2 linked regions of the Arabidopsis thaliana genome follow. The protein of the gene in region 2 interacts with the protein of the main gene of each other region in a biochemical or structural test. Each region holds a gene or a part of one and is shown on either strand. Other genes may lie near its edges.

What was found.
Region 1: the proteins of BRL2 (region 2) and AT4G26940 form a complex in vitro, tested with the Arabidopsis thaliana proteins (one study listed by BioGRID).

The regions. Positions count from the first base shown.
Region 1 is NC_003075.7:13,528,586-13,534,946, forward strand, and holds AT4G26940 (Galactosyltransferase family protein), read right to left. Parts: upstream 4,171-6,361; 5' UTR 3,803-4,170; coding exon 3,681-3,802; intron 3,260-3,680; coding exon 3,163-3,259; intron 3,074-3,162; coding exon 3,009-3,073; intron 2,916-3,008; coding exon 2,704-2,915; intron 2,635-2,703; coding exon 2,571-2,634; intron 2,481-2,570; coding exon 2,408-2,480; intron 2,287-2,407; coding exon 2,166-2,286; intron 2,071-2,165; coding exon 1,983-2,070; intron 1,896-1,982; coding exon 1,770-1,895; intron 1,665-1,769; coding exon 1,558-1,664; intron 1,475-1,557; coding exon 1,326-1,474; 3' UTR 675-1,325; downstream 1-674. Other genes in the region: MYB97 (myb domain protein 97), read left to right, coding at 1-292, 373-587; AT4G26950 (senescence regulator (Protein of unknown function, DUF584)), read right to left, coding at 5,058-5,492. UniProt on the Arabidopsis thaliana protein: Beta-1,3-galactosyltransferase that transfers galactose from UDP-galactose to substrates with a terminal glycosyl residue.
Region 2 is NC_003071.7:439,469-446,361, reverse strand, and holds BRL2 (BRI1-like 2), read left to right. Parts: upstream 1-2,037; 5' UTR 2,038-2,125; coding exon 2,126-5,557; 3' UTR 5,558-5,738; downstream 5,739-6,893. UniProt on the Arabidopsis thaliana protein: Receptor with a serine/threonine-protein kinase activity, which may transduce extracellular spatial and temporal signals into downstream cell differentiation responses in provascular and procambial cells.

The DNA of each region.
Region 1 (6,361 bases), on a different chromosome or scaffold from region 2:
CATGAGCTCTCTTCAAACCAAATTCCATACTCTGCCTCTTTAGGAGTCTATCAAGTAAGCAAGTTCTCAGACAATGGGGATTGTAACCAAAACCTGAACACCGGTTTGCATACAAATACCTGTCAGCTGTTAGAGGATCTTATGGAGGAGGCCGAGGCTCTAGCTGATAGCTTTCGTGCTCCTAAGCGGAGACAAATCATGGCTGCGCTTGAGGACAACAACAACAACAACAACTTTTTCTCGGGAGGTTTCGGACATCGTGTTTCTTCCAACAGTCTATGTTCCTTGCAAGGTAATAATAATCAGACAACTCAAAATGCTTCAATCTGCAAAAACAAGTGTTTGAATTTTATTTTATTTTGATTGACACAGGTTTAACACCAAAGGAAGATGAGTCTCTCCAGATGAACACAATGCAAGATGAGGACATAACAAAGCTTCTTGACTGGGGAAGTGAAAGTGAAGAAATCTCAAACGGGCAATCCTCTGTGATAACAACAGAGAACAACCTTGTCCTTGACGATCACCAGTTCGCTTTTCTGTTTCCAGTTGATGATGACACCAACAACTTGCCAGGGATCTGCTAGAGAAAGACGAAACAACTAAATGGAAACATGTTCCTGATTGTACAATTAAAATCCTGAATATACCTGTCAAATATGTTATTAAAGCAATATGATCCTCATGTATAGAGATCTTAGCATTGTTCATCTGTTACATGCTAGTGGACATCCCAAATGATTCACCTGACTCTTTCCAAAACACTCAATTGCTGAACTAAGCATCTCCCGCAAGTGGAATATACCTGCCAGAAATCATTGTGTACACATTCCTCTTAACCAAGAAAAGTTTTTATTAAGCTTCTGAATTTCTTCTCATATGGTCTAATCTTTATTGACTAGTTTTGTGTTTCAAGTACACACATAAACAACCCATGTTTCACCACAATCATGGCAAAGGAAAAAATGAACAAAATAGGCAAAATCCAAAAAGAAATGAAGAAGAAAAGCTCAAAAGGCAGAGAAAACGCCTCAATGAAATGACTCTGAAGGTGCACTCATGGAGTCCGCCTTTGCAGCTAAAATCTGCATTTTCTGTGTGCAAAGAACTCCAGACCTTCAGAGAATTGAGAAAAGCATAAAGAAACAAGAAAGGAGGGCAAAAAGCACCCTTCTCATCTCAGTTCACAAGATACATACATACATACATACATACATACATATATAGAGAGAGTTTGACTGTGTGTCTATACTACCAAGTGTAGACTGTCGAGCGGATTTGTCTCTGTACTCTTCTTCCTCAATGTGTTTCTTTAGTTATTGTGTTCAGAAAGATGCAGCCAGAAGGGCCTTTTCACCTTCTCCACACCTACGATGAACATCCTTCATCCTATCCGCTGATCTACAAATCCCACTGCAGCTCCAATCGAACGAGGCAACACAGATGTTGCCCGCCTGCGCCTTCCACTCACAATCTGCAGTTTCTCATTGATCAACAAATGGAATCGAGAAAACTTCCATACTTGGACATAGATAAGGGAACTTGAATTTTTTTTACCTGTTGTACCACAACATAGCCTACGGTCATCTACATGCTCCACATCTAATCCAAGAAACCATGATCCTAAAGAGACATCTTCATTCACATATTTGTGAAGTACGTTTCTGTATACACAATTCGTCCTTGGTTAATACACAATCAGCGTATGAGCGTTTAAGCATAAAGCAGATTAATTTTTTGGATTGTCAAGGCAGTGGGAAATAACTCACTGGTTTATCGATATGTAAGACGCCAACTCCCTGGATATTGCATAGAGCTGACCTGTGGCATGGCGGAAGTATTTGTTACCCTCTTCTCCAAATTTCCAGTATTCGGGTTCATGATATCTCACTCCTCTAAAATTGGAAATTTCAGAGAGAGATGAAAGTGAGACAAACATTAAAAATGAGGAGTGGTCTCTTGAAGGAAGGTGAACAACTTACTTCTGAGCAAGAACAGGTCCAGATTTCATGCAACCAATGTACACTCGGGGCTTCATCCGGTATCTTGCTAATTCTGCTCCAAGCGTGGCTGCAGAAATATCCATGACAGAAGTGAGCAAAGGCACAAACTTGAGATGACAAGAAACAAAACAATTCAGATACTTTAAGAGAGTTTATATTCACCTATATTTACATGCACATCATCATCGACTTTGACGTAGAAGTCTGCATCCCACATTGCAAAAGCCGTGGTAAAGTAAGTTTTAGTCTTTGCTGACAGCTCGAGATAACCTTCAACATGATCCTGCTCAAACAAACATAAGAATTTAAAAACAGAAAGCCTGAATATCGGTAAAATGTGACTGCCGTGAACCTGCCCACAACAAGTATAATTCCATGAGAAAAATGACCCGCACAAGTCTTACCAGCCTCAAGAAGTCTCCATGTTTACTTTCTTCAGCCTGAATCGCTCTATCAAGAATTCCACCGGGAGTAGAACTGCCCACAGAAAACACTCAATCAGGAAATCTCTAACCGAATAAACCTCGCAAATAACGATTTTTGCCACTCTTATGGTACAAGTTTTACCTATGGCCTATCACAAACCGCATCACGATCCCTTTCTCTTCCTCGAGCTTCTTTCTCTCCTCACCTAAAGAAGACACATGTTTAGTCCCAGACAATATACTTAAGGCTGAAACCGCTGCTTAGATCAACATACCGGGAGGCATCCAAGTAGCACGGACTGAATCCCTGCGCTTTCTGCTGCTAAACGCAGTATTAACACCAACAACCATCAGATACTTTCTTTTAGTGACAGTTTCAGGGAGCTTAAAGTCATCAGAAACTGGTGAACCATTCATGATAGATTCTTGCGCAGCTCTTGCATCGGCCAGTTCTGTTTCCAGCTTTGAAATCGTTTTATCAAGCGTTCTACACAACACCATTGAAGCAAAACCAAAAAGTTCAATGCAAACCCGCATTCAAAGTCAAAAAGAAGTTCTAAATCATATGATTTCCACTTACTGAATTGCATCTGGACTCTTGTAAACATCTCCAAGGATGTCTTTCGATTCACGCTTTAAACCCTTCTGATAAACAGAAATAATGCTATGAAACTCAGGAATCAAAAACTCCTCTAGTGCTCATGACTATCAATTCACCTAAATTAGAAACTTACTTTTGATGAATCACAGTCCTCAGACTCTAACCGCAGCCGTTCATCTGATGCTACTGTGTCCCTTGATACAACATTGGATTCAGGCTCTGGCCACATTCTATTAACAAACACAGTCTGATTAGTCTACTATTAGACGATCAACAGCTTGCGATTGATTTTGGTTCTTCCATGAACTACTTTGTCCATAAAGAATATACTTTTGTCTATAAATAAATCTCAGGATGTACTTTTCGTTACCTTTGTGAAGAATTACAACCTTTCCAATAGTGAATGAAATTAAAAAATTTGCGAAACAAGAAAATTTAATCACACTTTCCCGGAAAAAATTGGACCCAAAACTTTCACAGCATGAATTTTCACGAAAAGTCGTTAGATTTACAAATCTGGGTGTTTCGAAAATGAGATAATTTTACCCACCGACAGTCCTAAAAGAGATAAAAAAAATTCCCGGGAAAATCGTATAACTGAAGAAATAAGAAAAGAATAAGTGAGTTCATTAGAGAGCATTGTTTTGTTACCTGTCGGAGAAGAGAATTCCTGCGCAGAAGAAACCGATACAGAGAAATAAAGTCCATTTCTTTGAGACAAAACTCTTCGAAGCAGAGAGCTCTAATCCTCTGTGATGATGCTTCAACGACATCTTTTTGTGCGTGTTTCTAAGCGAAACTATAAGAATCTATTGAACCCAGAAAGACAGACTCTCAAAGAGATACTAATAAACGAGAGACATCCATCTCACGAGACGACTTGTCCCGAGTCAAAACCGAGTCAACCCCAAACCAAACCAAACCCCAGATCCAGAAGATCGAGACTTTTCTCCTCGGAAACGAGAATGTAAACAGAGAAAGTATAGATCGTGATATTAGATTGATCCTATGAAAAGACGAATGTATGTGGAAAACGACAAGAGAGAAAAGCCGTGGCTTTGTGTCTTTGCCTTTGGTGCGTGGAATTCGAAGCTGGAAGAAGATGAATCGAATCTTATTTAGTTGCGATTTTAGTGTTGGGCTAATTAAAATTATATTATTATTTTTGCTTTATTAGTTAATTTTCACTTTACAGTAATAATATCAAGTAGATTGGATTAAGAGAAACTAATTAAAATTGAAGCTACCGACAGGACCACTCTACGCATAAATTTTGACCAACTAACCTTTGTCAAAACTCTAAACCAATAAACAAATCAAATTAGTTAGTTTTTAGGCAAAATATTAGGTGAATTTTGTCTTTCTTATAGAAATTTAGAGTAACCAGCTACATAAATATGAACTTTTATGTGTGTTTACTGTAGTTTTAAGAAAATCTCAACATGGTACGAAAGTTAAAACTCAATTTGCTCTCTCACATGCATGGTTCACAAAGCTGTCGAAGAATGGCGACAAAGGGAATCAACATTGACCACGTGTTCAGCACATGATCCTCAATCAACGATTTCCAACTTACAAACAACTCACCTCTACTTTTTTCAGATTCCTTTTTTTTTTCTTAATTAAGATCAATAGTCTTTATCATCGACGGTTCGAATCGTGTAACTCAATGAATCTTAAGCTCATACAATCTTTACTTGCAAGTCTTTTTTCACAACCTAACTTTAGGTTAAGAAAAAATTAATCTTATAACATTCATTTTCAACAATAGTTTTATTTTTGCCAAATCAAATCACCTACTATTTATTAAAACCAAAAGAAAAAAAAAATTCACCTATATCTGTATTATTGTTTTACTATGCCAAATCAAATCACCTATATTAAAAACCAAACGAATAAAAAAAGCCCCACCTATATATATACATCTTACCAAACTAGAGTTTTTAAGAAATGAAATCACCTCTAATAACTAAGGTAAATATCTAAGCATTCGGTTCATACATATCTTAACATTTATACAATCTTGGTCTACTCAAGAAATCCAGTTTGCTTCAATATTGCATTCCTTACTTTGCTCAAATCTCTTCCTTTCAGTTTTCTTCCAACTCCTTCCATAACTGAAGACGACGATGATGATCGACTGCGCCGCAGGAAATATTCCTCCGGTGACACATTCTCATCATCAACAACTTTCTTTGTCTTCTTTCTTTGAACCATTGACCAATCAGGGACATTGACAGGGACCGACTGTTGTCTCATAGGTGCCATTCCTTCTGTCCTCTGCCTCTCAGGAATCATTCTAGGTTCGCTTGGAAGTAAAGTTTGGGTTGAGAAAGAAGGTTTAGTCGTATGGTTACTACTAATCATAAACGGTGATTGATATCCATCAAGAACATCCCACACATCATCTTCTTGAAAATCTCCATCTCCCCATAGCTCATGCTTCATGTAGCTCTTCTCCATTGATACTCACCTGCTTCTACAAAACATAACATGACGACCAAGAAAGATCTTCGATTAAACAAAAACTCTGAGCTAGCCAGTAGTCACAAAATCGCAAAAGAGACAAGAATGTAAGAGAGAATCTACGTACGAACGTACCTTTTGACGTTTGATTAAAATGAAGCTTAAAATAATATTCTGAGATTATAAAGAGTGGAATCTGTGCCAAGAGAAGCAAAATAGCTTCAAATTTTGAGAAGAGAAAGGAAGAAAGTGACACAAGAGGTGTGGGATTGAAGAACGAATACGTAGATTGGTTCTTATTTTGTCTTTATAGATATGATCCAAAGACGTGGGAATCTATATTCATTATTCGTTCGCTCATTTATTATGATCATCAGTATTTGTTGCGTTCTGTCATAGTGATGAGTTTTAAAGGTCAAAAAAAGTACACTACATTGCTACACTAAAGGCTAAAGCATATGTAGCCAATTTTACTTTTAGTTTCTTTCATCACGGAAAGTAATTAATCATCATGAATTAAATTTACTCTGCAAGTTTTATATTAGAAAAATGGGTACCACATTCGATATATGTTACTGATTAGTGTCGATATATCACTTTTCACAGATTCATCCCCTTGAAAGATCGAAAATGTGGAGCCTGTGGCTTGACAAAGGTCCAATTCAGACGGCTGACTTGGTAATAGTGTAAGTTCTTTTGACAAAACAAAAGCTACAAGATACCAGCGTTTTATTGATAACGAAAGGCGACCATGCATGCATGTTACACAGTTGGTCTTGCTCAGAGCTTAATTTAATGAAGCCATGCATTTATAGATCTCAAAATTAATCTGGATTTCGCATATCCAACTTAAAAAGCAACCAAAA
Region 2 (6,893 bases):
TACTACACACTTTGGACAAAAAAAAATAACTAAAAGTCTAAAACGTTTACCGAATATTTTTCAATGTTGATTCTTTATGGCCATGGGGAGAAGTCAATCTTTGTGGTATACTGTATTTACTCACTACTCATACAAAATTGCAAATTAGTCTGATTTCGATTGGAATTACTTGTTGAGCGGTCAAATAACTTGACGTTCAAGAGAATACAGAACAAAATTCATACAAAACAGATATAAGGATTAGTGGTAGTGAAAAGAAGAATTTACATAAAGAATTATTTAAAAATATTGGGGCCAAAGGAATCATAACCTCTCATGCCACTAAACCACGAGCTAATTGATGTTGTTTCTTTTGTGGGGCTTTTTCTCTATTACTCTCCACTATTCGGTCCTTTATTTATTAAACAGAATCAATAAAATATACTCTATAGTCTTCAACAGTATGATATATTACAAATTTATAACACACAAAATCACACTATAGGTGATAAGATTTGCACTATTAATTGCAATGGAAAAATGTTCTAAGAATAATTATTTCTTACTAGAAACTATTGATCTTAAAGAAATAGTCTCTTGTGCAATTGAATGGTAGCTAGGGTATAACCAATTGAAACATTTTAAAATATGACTTGTGTATATTTTTTTCTTTAATATGTGTATATGATTATTTATCAATGAACATTTCAAAATAGCATTTTCTCGTTGGCTGAAATAATCAAGCTAATATTTTGCTTAAGTCATACAAATCTACTCATAAACTTGGTGGAAGAAGGCAGTGTAATGATGAAAAGGATGGAGTGTGTGACATGGAACATGATATAAAGGCTCATCTATGGCATATTATATGAAACTAAACTAATTAAAATCACATAAAAATGGAAAAAGAAGTGAGCAACATTATGGTTACACCTTAAAGTTTGTTATTGTAATTTGTAAAGTCACTTCTCTGTTCATTCCCCCACGCCTCTGCCTCGACAGTGAACATTGGATCAACCAAATTTTACAAAAGACCATTTCATATGCGATGCATATTATGACTAAATTGGGTCCCAATTATTTTGACCACACACCCCACCATATGAAATATTTGTATATCGGTTTGGAATAATTTCTCCCAAAATTCCTTTCAATATAATTGCCATTCTTTTGTAAAAGGTTTTGTTTTTTTTTTAAATAAAGTATTAATACAATACACAACAAAAACAAAACAAATTATCCCAAAATTCCAAACTTGATGTGATTATAGACTAGAATTTCTATTATGTTCGTTTTTATTAGTGTTGTCACTATATCACTAACTATATTCATATTCAGTTGCTTGTCAATTATTTTTTTTTGCCAGTCTTAGATTTATTATTTATTGCACTGTTACATAGACGATTCTACAACGGACAATTCCTTCCGACTCTTATTAGATCTAGTTGCTTGTCATCTAATATTTAAATTATTTTAAGAAATGTTATACAACTAATATTTAAATCATTTTAAGAAATGTTATACAACAATAGTATATAGCTAAATTTTTAAATGGAAGTTTATATAATACTACACTTTTTCTTCATTGAAATTTGTGAAACATCTCATAGATACAATTCCCATTTAGAAAATTAGCAGTGATCATAATTCTTTCTAAGGTTCAAAATCCCCACATGGAGCTTTAATGAATTAAAATTATGAAACCATTAGAAACAAATAGATATAGGACTAAATGAAACTGAAAACATATTTTTCTAAATATTAGAGTTTTATTCTATAAACTGAACTTAATTTTTTTGATTATCAAACAACATGTATTCTATTAGATTAATAATGTCACTTACACAAATCACTACAAGTCATGATCACAATTCCACAAAATCATAAGATTGATCATAACCATTTAATAAATCAATCATCTATTAGAAAAACATCATATGTAAAAAAAAACGATTCGACAAAGATGTTTTAAAAATAATAAGCATCAACAATTAATAAAACTTAATAAATTACCTAAAAGCAGCTTTTTCTTTTCTTCAAAAAAAGCCCTTTTTCTTCCTCTGCTTTAGCATCGTCTCTTTATCATCTAAATGTTTCAACTTACTTACTTCTCCTTCTCCATTCAAACTCAAAAAACCTCCCTCCAATGACTACTTCACCAATCCGGGTTCGGATCCGGACTCGGATCCAAATCTCCTTCATCTTCCTCCTTACCCATCTCTCACAATCTTCCTCCTCCGACCAATCTTCACTCAAAACCGACTCATTATCACTCCTCTCTTTCAAAACAATGATCCAAGATGATCCAAACAACATTCTCTCAAACTGGTCACCTCGTAAATCCCCTTGTCAATTCTCCGGCGTCACTTGTCTCGGAGGAAGAGTCACCGAGATTAATCTCTCCGGTAGTGGCCTCTCCGGAATCGTCTCCTTCAATGCTTTCACCTCTCTTGATTCTCTCTCTGTTCTCAAACTCTCAGAGAACTTCTTCGTCTTAAACTCAACCTCTCTTCTTCTTCTTCCTTTAACCCTAACTCATCTCGAACTCTCTTCCTCCGGTTTAATCGGAACCCTCCCTGAAAATTTCTTCTCCAAATACTCAAATCTTATTTCCATCACCCTCTCTTACAATAACTTCACCGGAAAGTTACCTAATGATCTTTTCTTAAGCAGCAAGAAACTCCAAACCCTTGATCTTTCTTACAACAACATTACCGGTCCAATCTCCGGTTTAACCATTCCTCTTTCTTCTTGCGTCTCCATGACCTATCTCGATTTCTCCGGTAACAGTATCTCCGGCTATATCTCTGACTCACTCATCAACTGCACCAACCTCAAAAGCTTGAATCTTTCTTACAACAACTTCGATGGGCAGATTCCAAAATCTTTCGGTGAGCTTAAACTCTTACAAAGTTTGGATCTTTCTCATAACCGACTCACCGGTTGGATCCCGCCGGAGATCGGAGATACTTGCCGGTCATTACAAAACCTCCGGCTTTCTTACAACAACTTCACTGGTGTGATCCCTGAGTCGTTGTCCTCATGTTCTTGGCTACAAAGTCTTGACCTTTCAAACAACAACATCTCCGGTCCGTTTCCGAACACTATCCTCCGGAGTTTTGGATCTCTTCAAATCTTACTTCTCAGCAACAACTTAATCTCCGGTGACTTTCCGACTTCAATCTCTGCTTGTAAGAGCTTGAGAATCGCTGACTTCAGCTCGAATCGATTCTCCGGTGTGATTCCACCGGATTTATGTCCCGGAGCAGCTTCATTAGAAGAGCTAAGACTCCCGGATAATCTCGTCACCGGAGAGATTCCACCGGCGATATCTCAATGCTCTGAGCTACGAACGATTGATCTCAGTCTCAATTATCTCAACGGTACAATCCCACCGGAGATCGGAAACCTCCAGAAACTCGAGCAATTCATAGCTTGGTACAACAACATCGCCGGAGAAATCCCACCGGAGATCGGAAAACTACAAAACCTAAAAGATTTGATCCTCAACAACAATCAACTCACCGGAGAAATCCCACCGGAATTTTTCAATTGCAGTAACATCGAATGGGTCTCATTCACAAGCAACAGATTAACCGGAGAAGTGCCTAAAGATTTCGGAATCCTTTCCCGGTTAGCCGTTCTTCAGCTCGGTAACAACAATTTCACCGGAGAAATCCCACCGGAGCTAGGAAAATGCACAACTCTGGTTTGGCTTGATCTTAACACAAACCACTTAACCGGTGAAATCCCTCCCCGGTTAGGTCGTCAACCCGGTTCAAAAGCACTTTCCGGTTTACTCTCAGGAAACACAATGGCTTTTGTTAGAAACGTTGGAAACTCATGTAAAGGTGTTGGAGGTTTGGTTGAGTTCTCAGGGATCAGACCAGAGAGGCTTCTTCAGATTCCATCTCTTAAAAGCTGTGACTTCACAAGAATGTATTCAGGTCCAATTTTGAGTCTATTCACAAGATATCAAACCATTGAGTATCTTGATCTTTCTTATAATCAGCTTAGAGGTAAAATCCCTGATGAGATTGGAGAAATGATTGCTCTTCAAGTTCTTGAGCTTTCTCATAATCAACTCTCCGGCGAGATTCCGTTTACGATTGGTCAGCTCAAGAATCTCGGTGTTTTCGATGCTTCGGATAATCGGTTGCAGGGTCAAATCCCTGAATCTTTCTCGAATTTGTCTTTCTTGGTGCAGATTGATTTGTCGAATAACGAGTTAACTGGTCCGATTCCTCAGAGAGGTCAGTTAAGCACGCTTCCGGCGACTCAGTACGCGAATAATCCGGGGCTTTGCGGTGTTCCTTTACCGGAATGTAAGAATGGAAACAATCAGCTTCCTGCTGGAACAGAGGAAGGGAAACGTGCTAAGCACGGAACTAGGGCAGCTTCTTGGGCGAATAGCATTGTTTTGGGAGTGTTGATTTCCGCTGCTTCGGTTTGTATTTTAATCGTTTGGGCGATTGCGGTTCGTGCGAGGAGGAGAGATGCGGATGATGCGAAGATGCTTCACAGTTTGCAGGCGGTTAATTCCGCCACTACATGGAAGATAGAGAAGGAGAAAGAGCCGTTGAGTATTAATGTAGCGACGTTTCAGCGACAGTTGAGAAAGCTTAAGTTTTCGCAGCTTATCGAGGCGACAAACGGATTCTCAGCCGCGAGTATGATCGGACACGGCGGATTCGGTGAGGTTTTTAAGGCGACGCTTAAAGACGGGTCTTCCGTGGCGATCAAGAAGCTCATTAGACTTAGTTGTCAAGGAGATCGAGAGTTCATGGCAGAAATGGAAACCTTAGGGAAGATCAAACACCGAAACCTCGTACCGCTCTTGGGATACTGTAAAATCGGGGAAGAGAGATTGCTTGTTTACGAGTTTATGCAATACGGAAGCCTCGAGGAGGTGCTTCACGGACCAAGAACAGGCGAAAAACGGAGGATTTTAGGTTGGGAAGAGAGGAAAAAGATTGCAAAAGGAGCAGCAAAAGGACTTTGTTTCTTGCATCACAATTGTATCCCTCACATAATCCACCGCGACATGAAATCGAGCAACGTGCTTCTCGATCAAGACATGGAAGCAAGAGTTTCAGATTTCGGAATGGCGAGACTGATCAGCGCATTAGACACACATTTGAGTGTAAGTACCTTGGCAGGCACGCCAGGTTACGTACCACCAGAGTATTACCAAAGTTTCAGATGTACCGCAAAAGGCGACGTGTACTCAATCGGAGTAGTGATGCTCGAGATCTTAAGCGGGAAAAGACCAACGGATAAAGAAGAGTTTGGTGATACGAATTTAGTAGGTTGGTCGAAGATGAAGGCAAGAGAAGGGAAACACATGGAAGTGATTGATGAAGACCTTCTAAAAGAAGGTTCTTCGGAGTCTCTGAATGAGAAAGAAGGTTTTGAAGGAGGAGTGATTGTGAAAGAAATGTTGAGGTATTTGGAGATAGCGTTACGGTGCGTTGACGATTTCCCATCAAAGAGACCTAATATGTTACAAGTTGTTGCTTCGTTGAGAGAACTTCGTGGAAGTGAAAATAATAGTCACAGTCACAGTAACAGCTTGTAACAACATGAAGATCTCTGTTTTTTTTTGTTTTTCTGGCTTTTTCAATGCATTTTTTTTTCCTGTGAGAATGTGTATGTGTGGTTGATCAATGATTAAAATTTCATGATGTATCAAGACTTAATTAATGTAATTTAAATTCTGATTCCTTTAATAAATAACTATGCAGATTATAACAAATCAGAGTCTTAGTTGGTGAATTGTTCTTTATTACCGAGTGTCGTTAGCTCAATTGGTAAAGACCGTAAACGAAGCTTAGAGAACGCCGATTTGAGTAACGCTTGAAACGAAACTAATATTACACGATGTGGTTTCGTGCATGAAAGGATTACCGACATTGGCCCAGAACTTCCTGGTATTAGAAAAAAAAAAAAAAAAAAATTGTTCTTTATTAAACGCTCGAATACACACGATTAGGCTTTGGATAGAGAACATACAAATGGGCTCAACAACTGAAGTTTCAAAATTATATTTGGGCCATAAAGAACTATTTAGAATATAGAAACATTAGGCCCATAATGACTCTTTCTCCTTCAGGCCTATGAACATCTAACACTATAAGACTATACATTCGTGAGTAGAATATTTTTTTTTGTGAGAATAGTATTTCAAACCACAAAAGAGAATATATTTCAATGTGTTACTTCATTAGTATGTGTGAATTTATACTTGTTGATGTGAATCAAGTAGGTGGTTGTCTAGTAATTTAGAGTTTTCAAATTTCAATAGTTCCATTCTAATTGAAAGAAATGATTAACACATTAACAACGGTATTATCAAACGGTTGTTTTTGGATATGGAGGAGAATATAGGTCAAAAACTGTGGTCACTTTTTCAAAATATAAAAGGAGAATATGGAGGAGAATATAGGTTAAAATATAATCACCTCTAAAATAGAAAAAATTATAGTGGTCACTTTTTCAAAATATTTAGAAGTTGCATGCTTTCGGATATGCAACTTCTAAATATTTTGAAAAAGTGACCACTATAATTTTTTTTATTTTAGAGGTGATTATATTTTAGAGGCATTGTGCACCAATAGTCACGTATAAAATAGAGTTTCCTCAAAAAGTAAACATCTCTATTTAAAAAAAAATATATCTCTATTTTTTTTTATAAGAAAACTTAATTTTAGAGATGATTATTAGAATACAATACCTCTAAAATAGAATCACCTTTAAAAATAAAGAAAAATATAGAAAGACCATTGAAAATACCCTAAGAAAATTAGGTCTCATATCATCATTGTTTGAAAAATGTGCAAATCTATAAGACTATATAAACAGACCTATAACTATACTATTTCGGTAGATTGTATATCGTTTTTTTTTTCGTAGAT